Oreochromis niloticus: one gene and its partners. The protein of the gene in region 1 purifies or fractionates together with the protein of each later gene. This does not show direct contact. Links are inferred from orthologs where the notes say so. Each region holds a gene or a part of one and is shown in the gene's direction. Other genes may lie near its edges. The genes, in order: psma5, pomp, psmg4 and psmg2.

Region 1 (7,377 bases):
CAACAGGAAACTCCAAGGAACTCAGTGAGAATCTAACAAAGAGAACTGTAGATTCACACAAGTAAGGTCTCTTGGAGCCATTTCTAAAACAACTGCTTAATCCAAAATCATCACTTAAAACAACTTTTTGTATGTACAAGTTATTTGGATGCATTATTAATTTGCCAAGACAGTTGGCAAAGACCCAAACTTTGGGTCAGTTTGGGCAAAAACAGTTTCCCTCTGATGAGAGGAAATTTGTGAGGATGTTCTGGAACAACCCAGGAATCACCAAGCATCAAGCCTGAAATTAACTGGAAACTGCTGGAAGACCAGCATCACTGTCCACGGTGAAGTGAGTTTTAAATCAACATGTACAGAGAGGGTGCCGACCAAGAAGGAAGCTCCAAAATAAACTCTTTTTTGCAGCTGTCCATATGGACTAGCCAAATGCCTTCTGGAGAAAAATAAGACGGTCAGATGAGACAAACATTAAACTCTTTGGCTATAATGAGAAGCGGGATGATTGAAGAGTTAAAGGTAAGGCTTTCAAACCTAAGAACATTGTACCAACTGTCAAGCACGGTGGTCGCCATCATGCTCTGGGGCTGCGTTGCTGCCAGTGGTACTGGTACATTGTACAAAGTAGATGGAATAAAGAAGGAGGACTGCCTCCAAATTCTTCAAATTCACCTCAAATCATCAGCTAAATGGTTGAAATTTGGACACAGTTCGGTGTTCCAACAGGAAAATGATCCCAAACACATCAAAACTGGTTTTGGAATAAATAAAGTAGATTAACATTAAGCAACTGGAATGGCCTTCCCAAATTCCCGAACTCACCTCATTGAAATTTGAGGACTATGCTTAAAAGCTGTCATTAAACAAGTCATTAAACATCTATGCTGTACAATCGTTACACCCTGGAAAAACAGTTCCAAGAAATAATCCAAAGCAGATTAACCAGGACATGTACATGTCAATTGTAATGTTAAAAGCAAATCTTAGCTCTTGATCTGTCTGAGGAAACAAGTAGAAACACCTGCTGATCCTCCTCCTCGTCGCTCCAGTCTGTCCACACACTACGTCGGTTGATGCACGGCAGCACCGCAGTGCTCCCGAGCAGCACCACGTACACGGCCTTATGCCCATCCCAGTATCGCTGTACTTTACGACCTTTGTGGCAAAAACAAGTCAAAGGGGTTTGTGGATTAATACTAATGTACTTCGGCTCACATGCTGGTAGCTGGTAGAGTGTGATACATACGTGATTTAGTGACATTGAGCTGGACTCTGATTGTCTCATAGAGGTTGCAGTAGAGATGGTGGAGGTTGCAGGAGTACAGACCTCGGTCATTCATCGTCACATCTGTCATTACATGTAGAAGTACAGCAAATCAAGCATGGCCACTTAGGAAACGGAAGTGCACACTTCATATTAAAGCAAACCTTTTTCCAAAACCTTTTAGATTTAATGGCATAGTTTTTTTTTTCATTATCGGCAAAGTGATTGAGTTTATAGAGGCTTCAGATTTATTCCTTTGTGTGGCATTTATGTATTTGTGAAACCCTCGTTGACTCTGTGTTTTAGATTTGGTGTTGGATGGTAATCTATGTAAACTGGGCATTTTAGTTTTTGTTAATGAGGTAGCAATGGGGACCAGTTGCGTACTGACGGGAAATCAGAGACAAATACCGAAATAAATCACTTGAAAAAATTGCACACAGAGCTTTAATAATTTTAATGATTTTAATCATAGCCAGACCGACTGCCTCTATTAGAAGACATGGTTGCCCTGTAACAGTATAGTGGTCACACTGATGCAATTTAGCCATACCTCTGCATGGAAGAGAGGTGATAAGGGGATGATATCTGATTGTGAGGGGAGATGTGTCAGGATGCATTTGGCTTTCTACCTGTGTTAAACAAATATCTAGATGGTCTTTGATTTTAACTGCATTTCAGTGGCAATGATTCACCTTTCTTTTAAAATGTTTGTCTACATACTCTATGTGTGATCTGAAATATTTGTTATAAGAACATAAAAAGCAAAGCCACAGTGAGACACACCAACAAAGTAAAGTTGGCCAGTTACAGTTACACATGAAAGACAAAAACAGAATGTGTCTGTTACTTTTGATAACCAGGGAGAAGTTTCCATCTTTGAAGGCTGTCGGGTTGAGACCAACCCTGCCCAGATTGTAGGAGTTGTACATCCTCTGTTCTCCTGCCGAGAACATGTCCAGCACCCTCTCCATGGCGTAGTCCGGATAAGCCCTGTACATATCCCAGTGGATCACCCTCTGCCTGTCTCTCACCCTGTCCCTGGTCCACACCATCCGGCTGCTCACACACTGCAGCACCAGCTTCGAACCAGCAGGGGAGCTCACATTATAACCTGCCACAACTATGCTGCTGCTGCTCTCAGCCTGACATGACACTGACAAAGGACAGACAGGGTGCAGCATTTTTAGTACTCATGGACACATAGATCACATGTGCACACACACAAGGAGAAACCTACCTGCAGTGAAGAAGCAGGCCACAGGGACTGGAAAAACAAAACAAAAAAACAGTAGAAATAAGCAAACGGGTTAATCACTTAAACAGGTATTCAGACAAAATCTGTAGCTCCCTGCATCTGAAAATGCATATGTGTGTGTGTGTGTGTGTGTGTAGGCAATTTACTGCAGGTGTAAACAAATATATATTCCTATCTGGAAACACTCTTGGGCTTTGTTTTTGTACTGTGCAGTTAGGCCTGATTGAGATTGGCCCTCACTCAGTGTTTCTCATCTCCGAGAATGTATATAACGCAGAATGTATCTGCGTTATAAGTGTGGACGGAAGTCTGGTTTTAAAATCAGCCCAGAAAAATACATCAATCTACCTTAACGACACTAGAAACAAACAAACAAATCTTTAAAACGTTCTTTCACCTCAGGAAAAAAAGGAAAAAAGAGGAAAAGTTACTTAGTAAAATATATTTTTCATTTCTTTAGAGTGGAGAATCTGAGCCCAACTTCTAAAATACTTTAACTCACGAATGCAAAGTCTATCCACGCTTGCAACAAAAGCAAAACAGTGCTTCACTCCAGCCTACTTACTGTGGATCAAGAGGAGAGTCTGAAAAATGATGTCGTCCCTCTTGGTTTTCATCTTTTCAGTTTTAAGCCGATAAGTCCGTGTTCTGCACCTGGCAGTCCGCCCTGAGCATGAGAAAATACGTCCAGCCTGTCTGTTCGCAACAACAACCCGTCAAGGTTAGTCACATTCCAGAGTTTGGAGAGATCTTCGCTGCCACAGCACCAAGTTAGAGCCCAACACAGAACCAAAACAGGGCCGAACGGAACTGAATCCAGCCGAGAAATGAAACCCGACACCGCCAAGTAAACCTCCTCTCACAAACCCCCGACTTATTAGCCTACAATAAAAAATCTCAAGAGAGACATTTGTTTTTACACTTAAAGATAACATTCTCTTACTTTTCCACTAAATTGTGTTAATAGCTGTACATCATTACTTTTGCAGTGGTGGCATATTGGTATTCGTATTACAGCACATTTCAAAAGCCACACTGCTTAAATTCCGTTTAATTTCGGCATTTTTCCAGGAGCACTCAGTAAGCCAAACAATCATTTCCAAGAGCATAGCAGATAACTTAACCACTAATCTCGATACGTTTAAAGTGCTGTATTGACTGTAAATTGGAATATTTTATATTTTGGGGTATTTAACCGGATGAAGAAATCAGACACATCACCAGGTCATCATCTCTTCTAATTCAGCTCAATGACGACACCCAGCGGTTGGTTCCCCTCTCAAGCGGCCACAATAATTTTGTAAATTATACCATGTTTTGGAGCCTGGTGTGCCTTTTTGCCACTACGAAGGCCAAGTTCGACATTCTCGTGAATGACATTAAAATCCCATTGTCACAAAAGAGTCGTTCCCATACCGGGAGTCGAACCCGGGCCGCCTGGGTGAAAACCAGGAATCCTAACCGCTAGACCATATGGGACACCGTGCTCATAAATCGTGTAATGTTACATAATACACGTACGTAAACGCATGGCATCCAACGATGATTACCTATGTCTGTTTTTGTTAAGTTGTATTCTTGTTATTCTGACTTGCACGAATTGGAACAATTATTTGTCTTCAGTAGATTTCATTAACAATTTGTCTTCAGACAAAAAGAAAAATTATGATTGTAGGAAACAACATCGTGTTTTCAGGCAACATTACCCAGCTTTATTTTTCCTCATTTTTCACAAATACCAGTATTATAATGTGCTTTCTTGTTTTTGAATTTTACAAGTAAAAAAAATAATAACAACCACAAAATCAAAAGCTTTTTATTTCAGAGTACATAAATAAAGTTAATTTAATGAAGCATATTTTGACTTGGAAACGCGGAACGTTGGTTAGGGAATTGCTAACAACCGGCGCGTTTGGATGTAACACACCTAACGCTTCCTCTGAAACAAGCGAACTCATTGAAGGGTTTTTGGCTGAAGGTAAACGAGCCGAGCAAGTGAAGTTATTTTGAATAATACCGGGAAATTGTACACATATATTTCCCCGGACATTGTTAAACTGATGGAATTTTGATGTTTGATGTATATTTGTGTCTAATATGCAGTTAATTGTGTAATTGGTTGCGCTGTTAGCTAGCACGCCTGTTCGGTATCACCGCTAACTGCAGCTAGCAGATAACCCGGTGTCACAGCAAACTTGAAACCAAAAACTAGAATTAGCTCTCAATATTTGCTTTAACTTGTTGTTACTGTACAGAAATCTTACACAAATAACGCATCTATCTTTTTCTAGGTCCTGCGTTTAACGTTATAAGATGTTTTTGACCAGATCGGAATATGACAGGTAGGTGAAGCACAAACTGCTTTGTCATTTATTGAGCGCTTAACAGAGGGAAATGAACAAACGAACGAGAGCACACAGGTGTTTTATTGTCTACCCGAGAAAGAAAGCCCGGTTAGACGCCTAAAGAAAATACAGAAAATGCTGATTTCGTGAAACACTTATTGTAACGGTGTCTCTACAGCTTGTATCAGCTAGCAGCTAATAATCAATGTTAGGAAAAAGTTGGTTCGCTTTCACTTTCGGTATGCCATCTTTTTCAAGCTGAGCGTTTATTTACTTTGCTGTTATAAGGGAATAGAGGTGCAAATAATAATAGTGAAAAATAACTTTTACAGCTATCTTTAATATATTAATCGTTGCTAAAAGTTCTAAACATTAATTTCTGTTTTCCAGAGGTGTGAACACATTTTCTCCTGAGGGAAGATTGTTCCAGGTTGAATATGCCATAGAGGCAATAAAAGTGAGTACTTCACAGGAATCTTTAACCATGTATGCACGGTTAATAAACAAAGTGATTATATTCAAGCTCATCTATTTTCTTTGGCCTGGCTTTGCTCTTCTAGTTGGGCTCCACAGCCATCGGTATCCAGACATCAGAAGGGGTATGTCTGGCTGTGGAGAAGAGGATCACCTCTCCCCTGATGGAGCCCAACAGCATTGAGAAGATTGTGGAGATTGATAGTCACATTGGTAAGTGGAAATGGACCGTGACAAAGGATTAAGGCTTTTGTTGACATAATATTACTGGCTGTTTTTTGTAATGAGATAAGATATCCAGTCAGCTAAACTAGTTAATTGATTCTTCGATTAAAATTGGACTTGAAATGCATGTTATTGTTTTTGTTTTTTAACATAGAAATCCAGTGCAATATTGTTAAAGAAAAGGAAAAGCAAAAATTTTTGTTATTTTCTTTTTAGCCCAGAGAATATTATTATTAATTGTATGTACACTTCAATTTTCAAAAAACTTTATTCCCTTACAAAAAGAGAAACATGGACAAAAAAAACTGAAACCGTCTAGATCAATAGATTGAAACAACCTAAAGAGTCATTCCATGTGAATTCACTAAATTTAAGAAAAAAAGATTTCAGCCAGACCCTCTCTGATTTACTTCAGAGCACTGATTTTAAATATTTTTGCAATTAAATCAGAGCCATTTTAGCCAAGCATTGCTTAAACCAAATATTATTAGATTTAGTTTTTTGGCTGATTTAGTTTGTGTGACAATATAGACCAAATTAAAGCTGTTTATGAAATTGTTTTTGAAAGCATCATCTCTTTATTATTTGGTCCCTTTGCAAGACTGTAAAGCAGAAAATAGATAAATAAAAACATTTTAAGTGAACAAAGTGCCATTAATAGTACTTTAAACCAGAGAATGTCACTGGGCTACTCCATGTAAAGATTGGTGAAAATATCTTAAAGTTCTCTCTTTTTTTTTCTTTTTTTTTTCAAATATTTTGTGATTGTGTGTGTGTTGTTTTTTGTTTTGGTTTGGGTTTTTTTGTTTTGTTTTGGGTTGTTTTCGCAGCCCTCTGTTTAAGGGAGAGTATTCATCTTAAAAAAACACCTCGAGAAATGATTCTCTTTCCTTTGCTCCAGCTAAAACTCTTTGGTATAAGTGGCTTAAATTAGTCAGAACATTGTCACGCAAAGCTAAGCAAATCAAGTCCTTGACTTTAACTTTCACACTGTTGTTGTAGCCGTTTCAGACAAATGTTAATCAGTGCATTGGTCACATCCACATTCTTGCACAGTAAAGCTTTCCTTCGGATTACACGAAATTTCATCACGTTTGTCTCACTTTGATGATGAAGAGTCTTGCTTTAGGCCACAGCCTGTGAAAGATATATGCAGGTTTTTAGTTTTCTTTCTTTTCACGTCTTAGGCTGTGCCATGAGCGGCTTGATAGCTGATGCCAAGACTCTTATCGACAAAGCAAGAGTGGAAACACAGGTATGATTTCAGAGCACAGCGCTGTATAAGGCGTATTTAGAGTGCTGTGTTTATCTGCGGTTAACCTGTATGCGCTCTGTTTCAGAACCACTGGTTCACTTACAATGAGACGATGACAGTGGAGAGTGTGACTCAGGCTGTGTCCAACCTGGCGCTGCAGTTTGGGGAGGAAGATGCAGACCCTGGTGCCATGGTGAGTCACTCAGCCAGTGTTTGTGCTTTCATTTTGAGATGCAGACCAAAAAAAGTTTGATGTTTAACTTCTATTTGTGTCTTTACTTTGTTTTAAACAGAGTCGACCTTTCGGTGTTGCGCTTCTGTTTGGGGGAGTTGATGAAAAAGGACCTCAGCTGTATGTCAACATAATTGTTTATATTTTAAAATTTAAGGGATATTTGCTTGCTTTGCTTAAACACATGTATCGTTTTGTGTGTGTGTGTAATACAGGTATCACATGGACCCATCAGGAACTTTTGTGCAGTGTGATGCTCGGGCCATCGGTTCTGCATCTGAGGGAGCACAGAGCTCTCTGCAAGAGGTCTACCACAAGGTAATA
Region 2 (6,756 bases), on another chromosome or scaffold:
CATGGTCTATTCAAGGTCAAACTGAGCATCTGAATGGGGAAGAAAGGTGGTTTAAATGGCTCTAAACATGACGTGGTTGTGGGTGACTGCTCTGCGTGTTTCAGAAACTGCTGAACTGCTGGGATTTTAGCACAAAACCTCACAGAATGGTCCAAAAAAGATCAAATATCCAGTCCCTCACCCTGCCAGAGTATTGTTTCTGACCATGGCTGCTGATGGCTGCTTCCAGCAGGATAACATGCCATGTCACAAAACTTTAATCATCTGGTTTCTTGAACCTAACAATGAGTTGACTGTACTTAAAGGGCCCCCACAGTCACCAGATCTCAAACCAATTAAGCACATTTGGGATGTGGTAGAAAGGGAGAATCACAACATGGACAAATCTGCAGCAGCTGTGTGATGCTATCATTTCAATATGGACCAAAATCTCTGAGGAATGTTTTCAGTACTTTGTTGAAGCTATGCCATGAAGAATTAAGGCAATTCTTAAGGCAAAAAAGGGCTAAAGTCAAGACCTATAGAGATGTATCTAATTTTTATTTATTTATTTATGTATTTATTTATTTATTTGTACCTGGGCTTGTAAAATATCAGTCTTGGTCTTGACTTATAATGAACTTCTATGTCCTACCGTTAAGTAATACAACTGAGCAAAACAACATTTTATTTTGAAAGTACTTTCCGGAAGACTAATTAATGTCAGGCTATGTTGCCAAGTAACTTACTGAGATATTTTCAAAGCTTCTGCTGTCATCAGCTGATAAGTTTAGACATTTATTGGCAGCAGTCATGAGGTGATGTATATTTTACATCATAATGACGTTTGCATATGATAAGAAGTCACGTGTGTATCACACAATGTAAATACTGTAGATATTATTTCCCTGGCTTAAGTTAGCTAACGTTAGCTGTTTGATGCCTTAGCTTAGTTCCCAGATAAATTGCAAACTTTAAATCATCTTATTTTTGTATTGTACATAGTTGGGACAACATTTTTATGACTTTTCCATTATGCAGAAGTTTTTATGCCGTTTTATTGATACATACACACAGAGAATCAGAATACTTTATTGATCCATAGGGAAAATTATGTAGAACAAAAACTCTCTCAATCCACATGATTGGGGGAAAGATAATAAACAGATGAAAGTACAAGTAAGGGAAAAAAAAGCTAAACTAACGAGAAAAAAGCAAGACAAACTGCAGCAGGCTGTGACAGGCTGCATGCTGGTCGGCGCATGCGCACTGAAAACCCCGTTTTTATTTTATCACAGTAATTACCAATATGCTATGTCAGAAATTGCTTGAATAAGTTATTATTCTGGCATAGTATTACTAAGGCAATTTAATAGGCAACTAATGTGCTGCTGTGTATGATATTTTAGAAAATGACTGCACATTTTTATATTTAAAGTCCTAATAACAGTTAACCTTAACAGTTGGTTAAAAGTAATGGAAAATGTACATTAAAAAAATCAGCTTAATTCCTCCCAAATAAAAGGACGGTGAATTACCAATATAAAGTCAATTAAAATGACTAAAATTTGAATAAAGTAAAAGTGCATACCACCAGATTATACGAAAAATAAGTATCTAAGTCAGTGTAAATATTCCACTATTGGTTCTCTCATCAGTAGAACTCATCATAAGATACATTATGCAATATATTGTAATGTAAAAAATAATCGGTCTCTTTGTCCTTCCTTCTCATGTTTCCTCTTCTGTAGCTTGCAGGAGGAGGAGCCCCAACAAGGGACACTGCAGGAAGTGGCAGTCAGAATAATTCAGAGGGCTTGGAGAGGATATGTGGTAGGAGCATCTGCTACTACTGCTATGGGAACACAGACTCACATATGTGCACAATTGTAGGCACAACTTGTTTTTATCTACCCAAATTGCAGGCCAGTGAAGTCTTCAGGTATTTCAAAGAGCTGATTTTCTACTGCAAACAGCGGGATCCAAAGACCATCCTCAAAACTGTCAATCCTCGAGAGGTAATGGAAATTGCAACCCCTATGAAATAAAACCAAATCAAACAAAATGAAATGTGATTTTGTTGTGGCAGGCCGAACTACTGGATGCTGCAGCTGGAGTGTTTATCAGATTTCGACTTGGAGGGGTAAGAGCTCAGAGAGGAAATAGTATAGGTCAGGAATAGATCACTCAGGAGCTATATGGATATGATATTAGAGACATGCCTTCTGACATCTAACCTCTCTGCCACTTTAGATCAACTTTCCTCCCAATATCTATTACAAGATCTTCACCCATCGGCCCATTACGGATGTGTGTGCAGGCAGTCCGAAAGACTACACCAAGCAAAGCCGTAGGAAGCTTGTGGCCCAGAAGACCAACAAAGGCCCAGCCGTCGCAAAGGATGACCGATTGGGTTGGTACCAGCGCATGGAGAACAATAGTTGGAGGCTGTTCTGTAACAAGGTGAGGAACAAAAATGAGTTTTTGTTCTGCTTTAGTCAAGTTCTGCCATTTGTTTAGAAACAGTGAGCCAAAGAGCTACAGCAAGTTTACAAATGCTTTTTAACAGGAAGCTTCTAAAAGCCAAAGTTCTGCAAGTCTGTTTTTTTTTTGTTTTTTGCTTCGTCTTCTCTCTTAGGTGGTTTTAGCATGTGAGCCTGCAGAGATCGGTGCTGACAAAAAAATGGACTTTCATTACTCCAAGTTGCAGCGGAAGCAAGATTTAGAGAGGTGGAGGAAGAGAAAGAAAATTGAATGGCTGAAACAGATGTAAGCGCTTTTGTGAAATGAAACAGTTGGCGAGCAAACCACTGTGGCATCAGTGATCACAATAATTTAAATGCAATCTGAAGTTTGTGTCTGTTATTTATTAATAGTGATAGAAACCTCCCCCTTATAGAATCACATCTTTGCTAACAAACACATAATGGTGTGTTGCTTTAATTGTGCTAAATGAGCTGTCACTCCTGTTCCTTACATACAGGTATAAAGAGGGTCGTCTGCAGGATCATGCGGAGCACAGACACATGGCGGCCCTGGTGGAGAGTTCCACCCAGGAATTCATGGAGACCGTTGAAAAGAAAGGAGATGATGAAATACTGGAATGGGAGCTGGATGAGCTGCTGGCCTGGACCAACACTCTAAACTTCGAGGAGTAAGGCACACTGATTAGAATGTTTGTGGCATTTGTAATTTTTCTTATAATTTCCCGCATCGTAGGATGTACCCCGCCCCCCCACCACCACCACCACCACCGAGTATGAATTTTCCTCTCTTGCCTGTGCAGGTATATGGAGGAATGGAGACATTTGGCCTGTAGTTACTCCTCTGAGCAGAGCAAAGGTAAAAATATTCCCTAAATACTGTATTCTGTGCTGCCATCTGATTTTTTTAAATTGATAGCTAACATGGCAACATCATGTAGGTTGCTTTGGAAGTCTTTGGATGATCCTGATAATCCAGTCTCATGCTATTCTGTCTTCCTTTTTCTTCATCACCTTTTTCTCATATCTCCTACAGATGGCCCTTCTCACCCACCCAGGTTAGATCCACACGAGCTGGCAGCAGAACAAACATGATTTATGTTAAAACTGTGCAGTCTCGAAGTGGAGTGTGCCACACTGTTATTGTTGCAGTATTCACTTTAATAAAGTCTGAAACTTGCAGTTGTTTACAGTCTTTGTTAGTCTGTCATATAAGTAGACATCACTGTGTGCCATTTTTTGTTAGTGTGTAGACTATAGTTTGTTACAGTAACAGTGTGTTAAACCACATTCCGAATTCCAGAGAGTCAGACTGCCAAAAATTGTCCTTAATCATCAGCTCGCAAACATCTGCAAATCAACGTACAGCTGATATCCGGTGTGTTTGTATCCGTCTGATAGCTGGAAATCACCATGTGCCTATGGATTGCTGAGGTGACTGAATTGGCAGATCACCAGCTTCTACTGAATCAATTCCACATCCTTAGTTTCTCATGGAATAATGAGACATTTGGTCAATTTTCCAATACTTCTTGTGCTCAGAAGTACTTCTACTTCTGAGCATCTTAAAATCCAGTGCTGCATGAAAATGACTCCCCTTGTCTTCAATCACGTCTTGACTGTTCAATTCAAATATATGCTGGTGGTATATGAAGGCAAAATGACAATCCCAACTGGATCTAACTGTATTTATGGCTTTTGTGTTTCTTAACTTGATATCCGAGGGTGTTCAGCTCATTGTGGGAGCACACTGTACCACTGTAGAGAGAAGTGCATTTTACAGGTCAGCCTTACTTGTTACTTGTTTGATTGAAGCCATGTATCTGTAAATGTAATGCTACATAGTATGGTAATTGATGTAACAGATATTCTGGCTGTTATCATTATTATTATTATTATCATTAAATTCCAAAAGCTGTACTTGTCATTAAAGTGATAAATTAAAGTTTTGCAAATGACTAACGCAAAAATTGGAAAACAGGGGGCACCCGGATTTGAACCGGGGACCTCTTGATCTGCAGTCAAATGCTCTACCACTGAGCTATACCCCCTCACGTTTAGCACAGCGGACGCATACGTATTTGTCATGATCATAATCATTCCCCACACGAAGTTGGGAGTTCATGTTTCTATCTTCAGTTAAGTGATAACGAATTGATTTCGTATACTTTAGATACTGTACAGCACACGATAGTATGTTTAACTGGAAAGACGTGGTTCTGTACATAACGCTATCAGCGGATGTGTCGTCATCAAAACGAGACGCTACCGGATACAGCAGTGTATCGAAAGGAAAGGGGAACAAACGAAGTGAAAATGGTATGATAGCGTTTTTAATGCCTATACCATATTTTTTAAATATCTTAAGCCTTGTTGTTGCGTACTCTCTTTGCTTTAATAATCTGTGTGATCATTTGAAGTCTCGGTGGTGAAGCTGTTTGTTTTTAACCGTGCCCAAACTGAGTAGCTGTGAATTTGATTAGTCACTCGAGCTAATGCCAGCTAGCGCTTAGGTTAGCCACAAGGTCCCTTAGATAAATACAACTTCCAGTATTTGTTGCTATTAGCTACATTAGATAGCCATTAGCTAAGTGTGATCAAATGTAAATGGTTTATGTATGTCTTTGATGTGGACTACAGAATTCCAGAGGACTTCGCTCTCAGCTTAAGGACAGTGTACCTGTGGCTGGGTTCTCTCCACAGGGAGCTTACGGAGTGCAGGACTCCCTCCGTAGTGGGTGAGAAACTGTTAAAAATGAAACACAGTTGCATGATAACCTCAAAAAACACATTTTTGTATTAGCCCCCAAATAAAGAACAACGTGCTGTTTGTAACACTTTTTTTTTTCTCTACTACTTTTATTAAACAGATTTACCAGTGTTAAGAATGAACTGCTTCCAAGCCACCCGCTGGAGCTGTCAGAAAAAAATGTGAGTCATTAAACCAATTAATGCTGTCTCCATAAAATGCTTAAATGGTATTTGTGTTTTGTGCTTGGTTTTACTATAAAAATTACTTTTTTTGTCAAATGCAGCTCAGTTTAATCACAATAGACACAAAGGGCAAGTAGTAAAAATACGTTTCTCTCGGTATCTCACTGTTTTCTGTTTCTCCATGAGCAGTTCCAGTTGAACCAGGATAAGATGAATTTCTCAACACTCAGAAACATCCAGGGTCTTCACGCTCCTCTCAAACTGCAAATGGAGTACAGGGCGGCCCGACAGGTAGCTGCAGTCCTTTTTTAGGGTGTTCTCTTGTTTTGTTTTCTTTTTTCCTTCTCAGTCCTGACACCAACTGTTTCTTCCCTCCAGATCCAGCGTCTCCCATTCCTACAGAGCTCAAATTTGGCTCTCGATACGCTGCGAAACAGCGATGAGTCCATTGGATTTGAAGACGTCCTCAACGGTGGGAACCTTGTCCTTCCCTTTTACACCTTCAGTGATATGTGTGTTGAAATAAAACCATAGCTTATACTGTGCTTTTGTCTTTTTCCTTTATAGATCCAGCCCAGAGTGAAGTGATGGGTGAGCCACACATGATGGTGGAGTACAAATTGGGATTGTTGTGAACAGAGTTGGGCACACAGATCCATATTATTATTATGTATGAATACATTTGTTTATCAACTCCATAACCAAAGTTAGTAGTTGGTGGAGAGTTTTAGTTGTGGAGTACTTTTGAGCAGGACGTGTATGTGTGTGTGTGTAGTGATCTTGAAAAGAGTCACTCACACAGGCTGCTTTTGTATGATTTAATTTGGTTATTTCTAATAAACTTCATGACTCTCCTCATTGTCCTGGTTCATTTGATCAGTTATTTACATTTTTAGATGAGCTTGCGCTGATAAAATTACCTGGCATGTGTTCAGAGAGAAGGTGTAACAAAGCCTCACTACCCACTCTGAGTATGTTCACCTGTATAGCTAACATTGATTTGCCAATGCAACAGGTTAATAAAGAGCAACACTTGTATTTTAATCCATGTTATTCTTCACTTCACTCATTCTTCATTTGCCTAACTTGAAGTGTCCTTAAAAAAGTCATTGATATCTAAATCGTTCTTTTTCATCCCACAATTAAATTCTTCAAATATGTTATTTAAGTCTAATTGCATGTTTATACGACTGTACTCTCCATTTAGAGTTTAAGGAGCTGTTGGCAAGGCTCTCCACTTTCTCTTTTAAAATTTGCACTGTGAAGCCCGGGGTTGTTAACATTAATAGCAGGGTGGAAATCATTGAGGTTGAATTCATAATGGCTGCTGCTTGGTGGCATGGGCTGATCAAACATCTGC
Region 3 (7,433 bases), on another chromosome or scaffold:
CTGCAGCCGCAGCACCAATCCGTCTGTCGATCTCCGGCTCCCTTCTCCCATCACTCGCGAACAAGACCCCGAGATACTTAAACTCCTCCACTTGGGGCAGGAACTCATCCCCGACCCGGAGTGGGCACTCCACCCTTTTCCGGCTGAGAACCATGGCCTCAGATTTGGAGGTGCTGATCCTCATTCCCGCTGCTTCACACTCGGCTGGAGCCAAGTGGCGGAGGGCTTTCACTTCGGTGGCCTCAGAATCTCATCTCTGCTTTTTGCGGATGATGTGGTTCTGTTGGCTTCATCGGGTGAGGGCCTCCAGCTCGCACTGGAACGGTTCGCAGCCGAGTGTTCAGCAGTAATGTAGGTAGAAACTTTGCATTTCTAGTTCATCCCAGCAAAATAACTTTAATAGTACACAGAGACCAAGAATAAGACAGTGCCATACATCAGCACTCTAAATCTACAGGAACAGATGCTGTCGCTGAGGGTTAAGCTGAACAATGGTTCCACTTTTCAAACCTGCTTTTAAGGCCCCACGAAACCCAAGATTCTTCTATTCCCATCAAAGTTGGACAATGTGATTGCTGTAATTGTCCTAACAAAGGACGGCTTTGTTATCTTTGGTTGTAACATTCAAAGTAACTATTCTACCTTATTCTGCTACCCTCCGCTCATTTTGACTACCACCGTCTCCCCGTGTGTTTCCCTGCAGCACTTCAGTGGCCTCAGGCAAGAAGCCTGTTAATGGAGTGAATCTGTACTATGAGCAGACAGGCAGAGGAAAACATGCTGTGCTGTTGCTTCCTGGCGCTCTGGGTAAATAAAAGCACACGCCTCCTTTTAATGTAGAAGAAAAGTTTGGCTATATGTGAAGACATCAAAATCTTTTTCTATACTCAAAATATCTCTGTTGCAAGAATAACATATCCTTCAGTACAGTTTGATTAAGTCCTTTAAGCATCTAAAAAAAACTGTTATGTTTTCTACTGCAGGAAGCACAAAGACGGATTTTGGTGCTCAGCTTAAGTCTCTGAGCAAAGAACGCTTCACTGTAGTTGGCTGGGATCCCCGTGGGTATGGACAATCCCGTCCCCCAGACAGAGACTTCCCCCCTGACTTTTTTGAGAGGGATGCGAAGGATGCAGTTGATCTTATGAAGGTTTGCTGATAAACTCAGGGTGAAAATGATTACCAATCTGACCCGTACAGTTTCCCGAGAAGCCCCTTCTCTGGGGGGCATGTGAAAGAAAGGAACATATGGGGAGTGATGAACTTCATGCTCAGTTCAGCGTGTAGTAAAATAATAAAGGTCTAGAATTCATTCAAAATGGAAAATAAGTTAAATTCTGCAATCCAAAACCTGCTAGATTTTACTACAGTCTAATATCTGGATAGATATTAGAAAGCAATACGAATCCTAATATATTTTTTTAACCACAGATCGAGTTTTACCATTTATGGAAACTCCCATAACAAAACAGATAATGTACTGGCAGGAAATTACCTTTAAAAAATTACCTGGACCTTTTCTTTTTGTTCTTTTTGTCCTTTCTTTTTTGTTTTGTTTTTTTACGCAGTTTTATAAGAGAAAGTGTTTAAAGCACAATTAATAAATTAGTATATACAGTCAGTGTATATGCCTCCTCTATTCTCTGCTTTGTGTTCTGATCAAAATTTAGGCGACCCTGACTTCAATGATGTCTAATCCACCTTCCAATTCTAATACTGAGACATGTTATTTTCATACGCCAATATTAAAATTCCTGGTTTATGAAGCTATATCCTTCTTTTACCCTTCAGTAATGAACATGACAAAAAGCCCCAGTCTGGGGTTTTATAGTTTCCGGTATGAGGCTACAAACAAATCCCCCCTCCTTTCAGTACTTCTGCAATATTTTGTATGCCAATCAAATTGCTTTTTAACCATCATCATAACTCTTATGCAAATATAAATTTCGAAATCACTGGCGACCTATGAGCTACACGTGCAGTATGTGAAATTAGATGGGTGCAGAATCCAACACAGCTGTTGTGTGTTGATAAGCTTTAATAATATTTTAATATTCTCTTTGATTTTTCTCTTTGATCTTGTTATTGTATACTATATGTTCCAATAGTGGATGCTCATATTACACACAGCCAAAGTTGTGAAAAAGATTGTAAATACTAGATGCGTATAAGTAATCTTCACAGGCACATTATTCTGGCCCCGCCTACCTGTTATTCAAATTTGAGAGATGATTCAAAACAGAAAATTTAAAGGCCACCCCCACCCCCCACCACCAACCCTTTTCATGCTTCACTGTTCAAAATGTCTTAGAACTGTGAATCATTCAGGAAGGATTCTGTCAGATAGGTTTCTCACAATATCTGTACATTCAGAAGCATGAAGACTAATTTTTTTCTGCATTATTTTCTGCATTTCAAATGCAATCTGGTTTATATATCACAATTCATACACAGATAAAAGTACAATTCAGGGCCCCTGTCTAGTCTTGCGGTTAAAAAAGAAAGTTTTTGCATTTTTTACAACAGCAAGTTGTGTTACCGCTTTGACACAACCTACTTTTTTATGATTTCTTTGGCAGACACTGGGATTCAGCAAGTTCTCCCTGCTCGGGTGGAGTGATGGGGGAATCACCGCTCTGGTTGCAGCTGCAAGGAACCCCCATTTGATCAAGAAGATGGTTGTGTGGGGAGCCAATGCTTTTGTTTCCCAGCATGACCTCAAGCTTTACAATGGTGCGTCACTTTTCATTGCCTTGGACAAGTGGCAAGTTATTCGAGCTACAAACTGGCTTTCATTTGAATATGTGCGTGTTGTGTGTTTGTGTGTGAACGGTTATGTTGTGGGAACACTCAGAGGTGCGTGATGTCTCCAAATGGAGTGCGAGGATGAGGCAACCCATGGAGGAGGTGTATGGGGAGCAAGTCTTTGCTAAACTGTGGGAGGCCTGGGTGGATGGAATCGCACAGTTTGCCCACAGACCAGAAGGTGATGGCTCTGTGCTGCTGCAGGCGCACTAGACAATCTGAAAAGATACTTGTTAATTTTGTCTCTTGCTAATGCATAGCAGCAGATAATCTGAATGTTTCCTTTTTGCTCTCTGGTTAGGAAGCATCTGCATGGAACATCTGCCCCTGATCAGCTGTCCAACCCTCATCATCCATGGAGAGAAAGACCCCATGGTGCCAATTCTCCACCCTGAGTACCTCCTCAAACACATCAAAGGTTCACGGTGAGCATGCACAATAATATTACCACAAATTGATGAATTTCACTTTTAGGTACAAGCTAAATCAAGATTTTCATCCCCAAATCTAGAGTGCATTTAATGCCAGAGGGGAAACACAACCTCCACCTGCGGTATGCTGATGAATTCAACAAACTGGTGGAAGACTTTCTTGAAGAGTGAAACCATGGCTTCATTATTCGATTGTGTAGCAAAAGAATTGGTGTTACTTACTTTAAAAATAAAATGTAGAATGTGGATTGTAACATTACTTTGATTACTTTTTATGATGCAATCTTCATTTGGAATGTTAGATTTAACAAAAATATAGAAATATGCGAAACAGCTTTTTACATTAATTAAAGTTACAATTTAATGTAAATAAATTTCATTTGTAACAAACTCTGGGATCTATCCAGCTATAGACCTGTGACAAGTGTCTTTAACAGGATGCTCTGGAGCAAAGTTTACTAAAAATGTATCAAGGGCTCAGCAGGCCAGAGGCTTTATTGGAAGAGGAGAAACATTACTACCATCTCTAACTGCAATATCGTACATTTATTTGACAAGGAAAGCCCAAAGTGTCACCTTCAAGGGCTGAAGCAAAACTTCAGTGAATCCGGTGGTAAAATCCCAGAGGCTCCAGTGTTAAAATGCTTAAGCTCACAGCAAAATAAAGATGTTTACAGTCCGGTACAAGAAAACGTTTTGGCCACTATAGCTCTATCTGACAAATAATAGGAGCTGCTGTGAAGTACTGGCTGTCCAAGAGGTTTGTGCTGTGAAGTGTTGGTGAGTGGGATTTTAATTGTTTTATTTATTTTTGACTTGTCATTCATTAGCAGGCTGCGTGGCAACCATACAGTTTATGGCTGCAGACTGCTAGCCTTAGCTAAAATCATAGCATACTTCCGTCTCTACTAAATATGGTCACCTTTGGCTTCTAAAACCCAACATGGCTTTTTGGACAAATGGAGGACGTCATTGGCATCTTTTATACAGTCTATGACACAGCCCAATGAGTCTATTGCACAAGAATAAAATATTTACCAATAAAAACTCTTATAAAGTCTCTGGTATTTCATAGAGGGTGCCACTGTAAGAAAGTGTCATTAACAGCTAATATATGTGTCTTAATTCACACTGAATGTGTAATATAGGGATCTATTGCGGCACCAAGATCAGTTGTGCTGGATTCTCACTCTCGAGCATCGATGATCGATTGCTTTGGCCTGCCTTTTTTGTTAAACCAGGAAGTATTCCATGCTGTTTATAGTTAAGCTAACGCGGACTTTAGATGTTCATCCAATAAAGAGTGAAACAAAAGTGGCAAAATGCAGAACGGTGCGGAATTTAAGGGAATTTCCGTTCACAATTTCTCTGAAAAGATTCTGGAGCAGGTGGTACACTTTCACGTCATGAAGCTCAGCGGCGGGTTTTTCCTTTGGGTCGGTTCGGCTCCGGTTCTGTCCAACTTAGCAGTGTCGATGAGCAGCAAATATGTAAGTACCGCACAGCACACCTTCATTCACTAAGTACTGGTAAGCCGTTTTCCAGAAATAAAGAATATTGGGTATATTCGTCGGGTGAAGAATAAGAAACTCGGTATTTAAAAGCGCAGGTCTTAATTTTTTTTAGGATGATTTTCAAAATAAACGTTTTTCATAAAGAATATATACGTTAAAATTAATATGATTTTTTTTTTTTTATCTTATTTTGCTGGGCTTTTCCTAAATTTATGTTGAAAAAATTAATGTTTTTTTTTTTTTTTTTTATTAATTTGGCGGTGTAAATGAAACAATTCCTCAGCATTTTTTGGTCTTTTGAAAATGAAATGTTGTACGGCTCCACTTTTTTTATTTATATGTTGTAAACAAAATACTTGAACTTCTTTGGGCTGAACAAAACATTTGTTACCAGTTAGCCTCCTACTTAGATGGCTGCAGTTGATTTATTTATTTTCTTATATTGTATGTAATATGACATGGGGGATCATTTTATCCACCTTGTCCTGGCTACGTAGCACAAGAGGGAAATGAGGAAACTAATTCTTTTTGTTCTGGATCGGTTTTATTCTGTTGTTTATATCTCCATATTCGTTCATAGTTGTACTTTTGGACTCTACTATAGTTGCGTTGCTTTTGTGAGGGCCTTTTTGTATACTCTTGCAGAGACTCAATGGTGGAGAGTCCTTGAGTTGATTGGGTTACACCTGGGTAGAGCCTTGCAGTAGGTTTAAGTAGGCCGACACTAACAAGCTTACCCCCCACTTCTAGGAATGGCAACAGTAACACACATCTCTTCCAATCAACCATGCATATTTGCTGTTTATCTTATACTGGGTCTCAGTGCAGCCATTCAGTTCATTCCCTGTCTGTAACATCATCCCCTAGGAAACAGAAGAGCAAATAATCGGGCGGGACTTGTGTCTGAGATGACCATATTAGGGGTATCCATCCTCAGTGACATCATCCAGAGCCAAGAGTATAAGAAAACTGCCTAAAGAGAGCATTTTGAGCAGTCTGTAGCCTGAGCTCTTGGCTCACAGGGATTACATTTACAAATATTGACTACATTTTTTGTTGGTTCACTAATATGATGATCCAGTATTTTACATTATATACTGTATATAGACTGATATATATATATATATATATATATATATGTATATATATATATATATATATGTATATATATATATATATATATATATATATATATCCATACATATATATATGTATATGTATGTCAGAGTGAGAAAGCGAGTCTTGTGAAGATTAAAAGTGTTTCTCTATTTCCCTGAGTTTAAAAAAAATGACCTAGGCCTATAAACAGGTATTAAGTCACTTACATGTTAATTTGGAAAGGGAAGCTAACAGCTTATATGCTTTTGTCTGCAGGATTCAATGCCATTATCTACTTTAGTTATGGGGGACCCATCCAACACAGCACCAAATTCTTTGGCACAAAGATTAGGTAATGTATAACACTAGTTTGCAATATGTGTTGTATGTAGGAGATGGCTACAGCAAAGTCATAAAATGCTCATTTAAGTTGCCATGTGCTTCTTAATTGTGGATTTCTATTATATGTTAGAATTTTACCATTGATGTAATTTTGAACCCAGAGTCACTGGCATGCTTTTTTCTTGCATGTGTTTTTGGCGTCTACTTGACCTTCCTTCCTGAGAGTCAGCAGGGAGAATTGAAACTTGAATAGAGTGATGCTTCAAAGTAGCATATCTGTGTTTGGAGTATTCAGAGTGTGTGTTAGTACAATAACTAGTGTAACCGTGAAACGATAGGTTTGAAATCAAAAGTGATTCTGATATTGCAGTTAATTACAGAAGCAAGGCAAGTCTCAAATCTCCACAAGTTCTATCGTCAAACTTAATTACAGGTGGCTTGGAGAAGTGTTTCAGACCTCTGATATGCTGTGGAGTGTAAAATGATACACTACATTTAACTTGGTCCAAAACACAGCAGCAAAGAATAGCCATTTATCTTGGTTTTGTGAAAATACTTGGCCAATCTCAGTGTCCACTATAAAGTGATGTCCACACTGGAAGACACTATGAAATATATAAATAAAATGGTAAATGACCTGTATTTGTGTAGCGCTTTACTAGTCCCTAAGGACCCCAAAGCGCTTTACACATCAGTCATCCACCCATTCACACACAGGTGATGGCAAGCTACTACAAATATCACTGAAACTCAGCAGCTTGCAACAGGTGAAACACTGACAATGTTAAGTGAGTAGGAGGCAAGTAACCTATTTCAGTTTTGAGGTGAGTGGTTAATGCAACTACCAGTGTGAACAAAGGACTGCTGGTTGACTGTTGACTCAGTGTCAACTGAGTGTTGACTCATTAGCAGTGTACCTACACAACAAGAACCTGGTATGCTAACCAATGTTGTAGTATCTATTTCTGGAAATGTGCAGGGTGATGCAGAGGGCAATTGTAAGGCTGAACGTGGACGTCTTTTTACCTGCCAGTTCATGACTGGGTAGAATTGTCTTTGGACAATCGATTCTACAATAAGCCAACTTTGTTTATACACATGCCTAATGCAAAGTCTACAGGGATGACTACTCATCCATGGTGTCTTTACCACATAATGTTGCCTTGACAACTAAACAGGAAACATGGGATTTTTTTTTCTCACCCACAGCCAATGAAATTAAGGAACTGACTGGCTGATGCAT
Region 4 (7,794 bases), on another chromosome or scaffold:
CAATCACACAAAAATGGAATGAAAATGAAAGGAAGCATGAATGAACATCAGCTGTCTCCTGATGCCTTTCTTGCTTTGTTCGGTGCAGGGATCACCCTCTCCTCAGCCTGCCTAATGTACTCATCACACCCCATGTTGGCACCTACACCTATGCTACAACAAGACGGATGGTTCAGTGCATGGTGGATAATGCCGTAGCAGCTGTGAATGGCCAACCTGTTCCCAATGAAGTCAAGTTGAAATGATTTTAATTAATATTGCCAAGAATTTTTTACATTTTTGTGTCCCTCTTAAAAAAGAAGGTGAGGTGGTGTTAGTTAGAGATTTATTTTTGGCTCTTTGGTTTCATTGTGGACACTTGTTGGGCAACAAACTGTAAAAACTTTTTACTTTTTGTGAAGAATAGGATAATATTCCTGCTATAGGATAAACAAAGATTCCCGTGTTGAATCTCTGACTTCCTCTAAGAAAACTCAATGACTGTTGAAACTTTAATTAGTTTGAGGAGAAACTATTTCATGTTCACGTTGGCAAAAGAACTCGCTGTAAAAGTCAAAAAACGAAAGAAAAGTTGCAGCTTGAATGCAACCACTCTTAGTTTATTAATCCAGTATGTATGTGAAGTATGAATGTTTAATTAATAAATAATTTTTTTAAAAAACTTCTTATTCTTGTTCTTATTCATGTTTTTTAAAGTATGTTGATGTCATTTTAGCGGAAAACATGTTGAATTATTATTATAATTTTTACTCATTATTACTCACTTCCTACTAACACAAGGCCTTTTAAGGTGGGTGGAAAGTCTTTCTGGGGAAGTTGTAAGGCTGATATGTTACTGCTTGTCCTTCTGAGTGACCATCTTGTCCTGTTTGGAACCAGGCTGATAACTCTGACCACAGTGCCCTTGGGCCCTGGACTGCAGGCCAGAATTACATCTCCAGCCCATTAGTCTGCTTTGAAAGAAAAACAAATCTTGTGTACCCTATTTTCAGTGTGAATATGGTGGTTTTCTACTGGTCGCTATTGGAACTCATTTCTTTCTTTTACTGAGGCCATTGTGTTGCCTAAATTTTAATTCAATTAAATTTTTATAAGTTAATTTTTAATTTATATAGCGCCAAATGACAACAACCGTTGCCTCAGGGTGCTTTATATTGTAAGGTAAAGACCCTACAATAAAAAAAAGAAAACAGAGAAAACCCCAACAATCATATGCCCCCCATATGTGCAAGCTCTTTGGTGACAGTGGGAAGGAAAAACTCCTTTTTAACAAGAAGAAACTGCCAGCATAACCAGGCTCGGGGAGGGGCAGCTCCCTTAATCCACAACTGGTTGGGATTAAGGGAGAAAGACAGAGCAAAGACATGCTGTGGACGAGAGCCAGAGATTAATAATAATTAAATAATTGAATGTAGAGAGGCATATAAACAGAATACGAGTAAAAAAGTAGAAAACTCGGTGCATAATGGGAATCCCCCAGCAGTTTAGACCTACTGCAAATGCAACCCTAAAATTTGCTGGGCCCCATGGTGGTAATAATGTCATAAGGTTGCAGAAAAGCAGCCTTATTACAAGCAGAAAAATGTTTCTCATAGGTCACCAAATAGCCGTTGACCCTAAGACTACCAGTATACCACAAAGCCTGATGGGAGTTGAAGTCACCGGATCAACTCTGGGGATCATCGGAATGGGACACATCAGATACAAAATTGCTCAGAGAAGCAAAGGGTTTGATATGAAGATCCTGTATCACAACAGACACAGAAGGTAAGCACAGTTTGGACAGTTTATGAGTTTGTGACAGAAAATTCTATAATAACTGATCGAAAACGTCGTGCTACAGTGAATTGAATACAAACTATTCAAAAGAATTAAAGGAACACTTTGAAAATTAAATCAGATCTCAGTGTGAAGCACAGGGCGCCCACCCTGGACCTGCCAATTCTGGTATTCTATTGCATATGTCAACCAGGCTCCAGTGAGCACAGGGCCAGGATGTCGGGCCCTCAGAACACCTTCATGAAGTCTGTTTCTGATTGTTCAGAGACATTCTCACCAGTGGCCTGCTGGAGGTTGTTTTGTAGCTCAGGCAATGCTTATCATGCTCCTCCTTGCACTAAGGAGCCAATACCAGTCCTGCTGATGAGTTAAGGATTTTCCAGCTCTCCTACAGTAACTGCCTGTCTCCTGGAAGCTCCTCCATGCTCTTGAGACTGTGCTGGAAGAGACAGAAAATCTTCTGAAAGTATTGACGTGCCATCCTGGAGGACTTGGACTACTAGTGCAGCCTTTGTAGGGTCCAGGCATCATGATACCAGTAGTGACACTGAGCCTAGCCAAATGCAAAACTAGGGACAGTCTGAAAAGAAGAAGAGAGAAAAATGTCACTAGCCTCCGCCTGTAAAACCAATTCCTGTTTTAAGGGTTGTCTCATTGTTGCCACTTTAGTGCACCTGGTGTTAATTTTTATCATCACCAAAGCAGCTGATACTGATTAAACTCCCTCTGCTACTCAACTGATCAATATACCAGAAAATTAACTGACTTGATGCTGTTTAAATATATATTAAATATCCCAATTTTAAAATTTTAAATCTGATGTTAATACCGTGTTAATACAGTGATACTGTGACTGCAAGTCCTCACCAGTCTTCGAGCTTTCAGTCTGATTTTGTGTCTTTTTTTGTCTTTTCATGTTTCAGGTCTGGTTGTGGATCAGGATGCTTTAGTCGAAGCTCTGGGGTCCGGAGAAATTCGAGCAGCAGCTTTAGATGTGACTCATCCTGAACCTTTACCTAGGTAATATGTCTCTGAAGACACCCACGCTCTGCAGCCAGAGCGGTACATCGCATAATCATAATGATGAACTCTTACGTGTGAGGTACTCAGGGTTGTATGCAAGGCTTCTTGCATACAGTGTAAACAGAATCATTAAGTTGTGTTTTAAATAATGCTCTGCTTGTTTCAGGCACATTAAAAAAGATTAAAAAGCTGCTTGAAGAATCTTACAATGAGTAAGATCAGTCAATTCCATAATTTGTTTACCACATCTGACTTTAAAGGTTCTTGTTCCATTCTTGTTTGATATAGGATTCTAGTTGCTCAGCAGTGATGGGTCGTCTTTGTCCTGTTTGTCTTTTTTCTTTCTTTTTTCACTCTTCTGCTATGAAGTCATGCTGTTGTAATAGATGCAGTATGTGGTTTTGCATGATCTTGCTGAAATATTCAAAGCCTTCCCTAAAAAGAACGTCATCTAGATGGGATCAGGGGTCCATGTTTTCCAAAAATAATTTCAAATCATGTCTCGTCTGACCATAGAACAGTTTTTCACTTTGCCTCAGTTCAGTTTAAATTAGCTTTGGCCCAGAGAAGACATTATTTTAATTGGGGAGATGTGGGCTGGAAGTAGTTCACTTTCAAAATAAAAGCATGCAGACATAAACAACATATAAAATATATGCAATATATATAAAAACAGACTAACAAAACCACACAGTGAAACTCACAGAATAAAAAATAAAAATTACTTCCACCCTGTGACAGATGCAGTGATGTCCATGATAGAATCATGCTTTTAACGCCATGCCCACAGATAACAGACATTCTGTATCGATTTTTCAGCCTTGTCTGTTGCGCCCAGAGATTCCTAAAGATTCTTAGAATCTTCATAAAGTTTACATTCAGGAACAATATTCTAAAATTGTTCCAGAATTTGTAAACTTGATTGTTGACCCTCTGCCCATCTTTACTTCTGAGACACTCGGCCTCTCTAAGGTGCTCTTTTTATACCCAACCATGTTACTGACCTGTTGCAAACTGACCAATTAAAGCTGTTTCTCTTTAGTATCTTACATGTCTGATTGTTATGCAATTTTCATCTTCTACACCAGCTTTAATCTTACTTTAAGCACAACAAGCTGGAGAGGAATATATTATTCCTTTACCACAATGTGCATGCAACTCTGGAAGGCATCCTTCAATATGCAGAAAATATGTAACATTAATATATTAAATACATAAGAAAGTAAATTAACAAATATAAATATGAACATATAGACAAATTGTTTAAAGTATCACATGTCCTTACTAAAGGCCTTTTTATTTAAGTACAAATTTTACATAAAAGTTAGGCTGAGATAATGCAACAAATAAATAAATAATTGTGGATATTCAGGAATTTTTTGAATGTGTAATTTGTTTATAAGCAGATTATTGGTATTGTTATTTTGTTATTTTCCAGAGAAGTCAGGATTGTTGTTGACTTTAACAACAACAACAACAAAGCTTCAGTTATTTCTTTGCTGTCAACGTACCTAACAGAATAGACAAACAGCCAACAGCAGCATGACACAGGCAATAACAACACGTATGGCATATTTATATTTATATGTGCAATTCCGCCGAGTGTAAAGTTGTTGGAATAAATTATGTAATGAAGGGATGGATAAATTGTTACCACACATACAGTAGTACATATATGGACAGAAGGAGGCCGGACGGATGGGTGGATGGGTCTATGGATGTATGTATCGATAGAGAAATGAACACAGCACAATTGAGGCAACAGAGTTGAGGATCTCTAATACGCAGTAAATCTTTGCAGCGCTACAGTCTGACCGTTAACATGCCTGATCATAATAGAAACACATAAAACACCACTTTAAATGACAGTAAGTAAAAAACACTTGGAGCTTTAAACAAATCTGTGGACGCTTGTTAAAGACGTCTACTTAAAACTATTAAAAAAAAACAAAGCTTCACTGTAACATTTAATTTAGGCATTCCCGCGTGGTACTAAAACCGTCATCAACAGTCGACACAGAGCCGAGCAGGTCCACAACGCCAGGCATGAAAATAGAAGCGAAAGTTGCCCTGGGATTATAATTTAGACGTCTAACTTTTAATTTAGTTTGTTTATCTGGAGGCTTGTAGGGTCGTGTGTGCCTGCTGGCTGAACAGCACCATGTTTATCTCCTCGCAGAGCTCAGCACCCTCCTTCAGAGATTTTACCCTCGTCATGGTGAGTGACGGAGGAAAATAATCCTCCCATCAGTTCCTGCTTCATGCTTTCATATGAGACTCGTGTAATCACCAGGGAAAAACAAAAGCTTCACTTCTCTGATTTTCATCCAAGAAACTGGCTGTGTATAAAAATACCTTTAATTCCTACACATGTAATGCAAAAGTCTTGTTAAACCCCTGATTGAAGTCCACTGTGGAGGGGCGCAGAGGCAAAGTCTTGAGCCAGCCCTTATTTCTTTATATTTCCAGAGCAATCTTTTTGTGTGTCAAGCCACTAAACATTTACCTGTGAATCATTCAAGCTCATAAAAGACACCTAACTGAAGGGATGAATGAATGACACATGACACGCACCCTGTTACGATAATGCATGGCAACGTTTATTCCCATTGTTTTAGTTAAATCTATGGAAAATGTCAAAGAATAATAGTACAAATTTGTTTTTGCCTGCTGTATTTCCATGTATATTTGAACAATTTGCTGCATCTGTTTTCCATTGTTATTGCAAAATATAAAGAAATAAGGGGTGACTTTAAACTTTTGCACAGTGCAGTAAAACTACAAAAAAATTTAACTGTCTTAAAACTTGAAAAAAAAACTTAGAGGCCTAATAAAAACTGGAACTCTCTAACATGTGTTTTTCTTCATCATATGTTTTGCACAACTACATGAAAATGTGCTCAGGAAAAGGAAAAAGTGATTTAAACGGTTCCTGCCTTCTCTTTAATTTTGTTACTTATCCTCTTCCTCTTTCCTCCTCCAGCCTGCGGTGGCCGTAGGTAATGTGGGTCAGCTGGCCGTGGATCTCATCGTGTCCACTCTGAACATGAGTAGGGTGGGCCACATACACACTGACTGTCTCATCCCGATGGCCGGGAACGACCCGTACGCCAGCAGCAAAGAAGATGGCGAGGAGCTGCACACTCCTGCTGAAGGTACAGTTGATTCACTGCTGGTGCCTGTCTAACACAGAGGTGTCAGAAATTTTAAAAAAAACAAACAAACAAAACAAAAAAACTCAGAAATGTTCCCTTTGAGTCTGCTGTCTCTTTCTTGCTGTCCGCTGGGATGTCCGCTATCCCAGCTGTGACCTTCTGATTGTTTTTAATCAGCACTATGTCGTATTAGTTGGCCAGCGGCTGCTTATCCACCAAAGGACATTAGTCCTGTTGTCGTCAACCATCAGTCAGGTGATCAGCAGTTTTGTCTGCAGCTGCTGTGAAGTCAAAAGAAAAGTAACCCTCTGTTCTCCACAGTTTACGCAGCAGCAGAACTGAAGCTGGCGGTCCTTCAGATCAGAGCACCAATTCTTCAGGTAACAATCAGTCATCAGTATGACATCAGTATGACGTCAGTTCATTCTCTGAGTTCCCTTCATACTGTATGACTATTGTTGTTTTCTTTTGTTCTACCTTTGTTTAAACTGCAGTCAAAGACCAAAAAGTTTCGTCAGCTGCTCGTGTCCTGGATCAAATCCAGCGGCTTCTCCAGGACTGTCGTCCTCTCCAGCAGCCACGCCTACCAGAGAGATGACCAGCAGCTGCAGGGGTAAATACGCTTGCAACGCCATCGCCTTATTTCTTCACTTTTGCATTTTTCAATCATGTCTGCTCAACAAACACGTGTCTCGGCTAGCACTCCTTTGAGGTACCTGGTCACGCCGTCCCTGCTGAAGGGGAGCGCGGACGCTTTGAAGGAACTGGGCTGGAGGGAAATGGAGCGAGTCCCGGCCTTCCCCGGACTCACAGATGGAAACACGGAACCACGGCTCTGCATCCCCGGAGGAGGCATCACCAAAGGACTTTACACAGACAGGTAGATACGGGAGACCTGCAGGCAGACACAAGGGCATCAAAAACACAGGGAGCTGTTTTTAAAATCTTTTTTATTTATGTCTGTAAGAGCATGGGTTTAATAATTATTTGAATATAAATCACAATAAAGGCAGCTGCAGGTGTCTGCTGTGTGTTCAGACACTTTATTAAGAATGTTGAAACGCCTCAGTAAGAGTTCCTTGTTAATATTATTTGTGTTTGTGTGATCACGTTTGCTGCACAGTTGCAAAGAGGACCTCCCGCTGGCTGTGCTGCTCGTCTTCTGTTCAGAAGGCGACAACATCCCCGATGCCTTCGCTCTGGCGAACCACCTCAACGACTGGCTCCATCTGCTGGACGATAACGTAAGTGACACCACGGCGCAGCATTAAAGCAACCTAAAGTTTCAGAGGAGTGGTAATGTCACTGTGAGGTGAATCATTGTTCTCCAATTCTGCTTTCAGAGCAAACAGCCCAACAAATGGAAGATCCCGACTTCCTGGAGTCTCCTGTTTGGAAACGGCATCCCGCCTGCACTGTTCTGATATAAGTGTATAGTGTTTTAGTTTTTTACCCTCTATAATTTGTGTTTAATGCAAGACGTTTGCTCCACATGTTGTCGTTTTCAGACCTCAGCAAACTCTCAACTGGGGCCAAACCCGGTGACTGATGGCAGCGCTGACATATATAGAAAGATGGAAATTGCCCACATAAATCTCCTCTATCTTGGAAATGTATCTTAAATAACTCAAACATAACAAAATAAAATGTACAGGATGTGACCCAAACATTCACTTCTGGACTGCTATTTCCTGGTTTAAAACAAAAATGTTTTTCTAATAAAAAGTTGTTACAGGAACGTGGTGTGAATTCATCTTGATTGTGGCCCTTTCACTGGATTAAGCCTCCACCCACTTAACTGAAAGTGGTTGGCCAGGCTCCATGCTGTATTCCTGGC

Evidence for each region.
Region 2: the proteins of psma5 (region 1) and pomp purify together in Homo sapiens (co-immunoprecipitation; 6 studies listed by BioGRID and IntAct, with this or other methods). This does not show direct contact. The link is inferred for Oreochromis niloticus from reciprocal best matches to the Homo sapiens genes PSMA5 and POMP.
Region 3: the proteins of psma5 (region 1) and psmg4 purify together in Homo sapiens (co-immunoprecipitation; 3 studies listed by BioGRID and IntAct, with this or other methods). This does not show direct contact. The link is inferred for Oreochromis niloticus from reciprocal best matches to the Homo sapiens genes PSMA5 and PSMG4.
Region 4: the proteins of psma5 (region 1) and psmg2 purify together in Homo sapiens (affinity purification with mass spectrometry; 4 studies listed by BioGRID and IntAct, counting the BioPlex papers as one, with this or other methods). This does not show direct contact. The link is inferred for Oreochromis niloticus from reciprocal best matches to the Homo sapiens genes PSMA5 and PSMG2.

What each region holds. Positions count from the first base shown.
Region 1 is NC_031970.2:25,680,690-25,688,066, reverse strand, and holds the start of psma5 (proteasome subunit alpha type-5), read left to right. Parts: upstream 1-4,369; 5' UTR 4,370-4,500; intron 4,501-4,813; 5' UTR 4,814-4,835; coding exon 4,836-4,864; intron 4,865-5,257; coding exon 5,258-5,324; intron 5,325-5,427; coding exon 5,428-5,554; intron 5,555-6,753; coding exon 6,754-6,821; intron 6,822-6,906; coding exon 6,907-7,014; intron 7,015-7,114; coding exon 7,115-7,173; intron 7,174-7,268; coding exon 7,269-7,371; intron 7,372-7,377. Other genes in the region: matrix remodeling-associated protein 8, read right to left, coding at 1,022-1,155, 1,247-1,348, 2,115-2,420, 2,505-2,531, 3,088-3,139. UniProt on the Homo sapiens protein: Component of the 20S core proteasome complex involved in the proteolytic degradation of most intracellular proteins. This complex plays numerous essential roles within the cell by associating with different regulatory particles.
Region 2 is NC_031974.2:26,857,481-26,864,236, reverse strand, and holds pomp (proteasome maturation protein), read left to right. Parts: upstream 1-4,621; 5' UTR 4,622-4,703; coding exon 4,704-4,781; intron 4,782-5,102; coding exon 5,103-5,200; intron 5,201-5,332; coding exon 5,333-5,393; intron 5,394-5,585; coding exon 5,586-5,687; intron 5,688-5,774; coding exon 5,775-5,868; intron 5,869-5,963; coding exon 5,964-6,031; 3' UTR 6,032-6,255; downstream 6,256-6,756. Other genes in the region: lg9h11orf65 (protein MFI), read left to right, coding at 793-797, 1,731-1,812, 1,905-1,997, 2,069-2,122, 2,233-2,442, 2,618-2,748, 2,963-3,133, 3,266-3,321 and 1 more. UniProt on the Homo sapiens protein: Molecular chaperone essential for the assembly of standard proteasomes and immunoproteasomes. Degraded after completion of proteasome maturation. Mediates the association of 20S preproteasome with the endoplasmic reticulum.
Region 3 is NC_031981.2:27,035,265-27,042,697, reverse strand, and holds the start of psmg4 (proteasome assembly chaperone 4), read left to right. Parts: upstream 1-4,424; 5' UTR 4,425-4,558; coding exon 4,559-4,726; intron 4,727-6,124; coding exon 6,125-6,200; intron 6,201-7,433. Other genes in the region: bphl (valacyclovir hydrolase), read left to right, coding at 704-807, 984-1,150, 2,580-2,733, 2,855-2,986, 3,107-3,230, 3,317-3,407. UniProt on the Homo sapiens protein: Chaperone protein which promotes assembly of the 20S proteasome.
Region 4 is NC_031985.2:19,890,722-19,898,515, forward strand, and holds psmg2 (proteasome assembly chaperone 2), read left to right. Parts: upstream 1-4,790; 5' UTR 4,791-4,963; coding exon 4,964-5,020; intron 5,021-5,785; coding exon 5,786-5,957; intron 5,958-6,278; coding exon 6,279-6,337; intron 6,338-6,451; coding exon 6,452-6,570; intron 6,571-6,657; coding exon 6,658-6,837; intron 6,838-7,080; coding exon 7,081-7,201; intron 7,202-7,300; coding exon 7,301-7,381; 3' UTR 7,382-7,695; downstream 7,696-7,794. Other genes in the region: uncharacterized protein zgc:136493, read left to right, coding at 89-245. UniProt on the Homo sapiens protein: Chaperone protein which promotes assembly of the 20S proteasome as part of a heterodimer with PSMG1.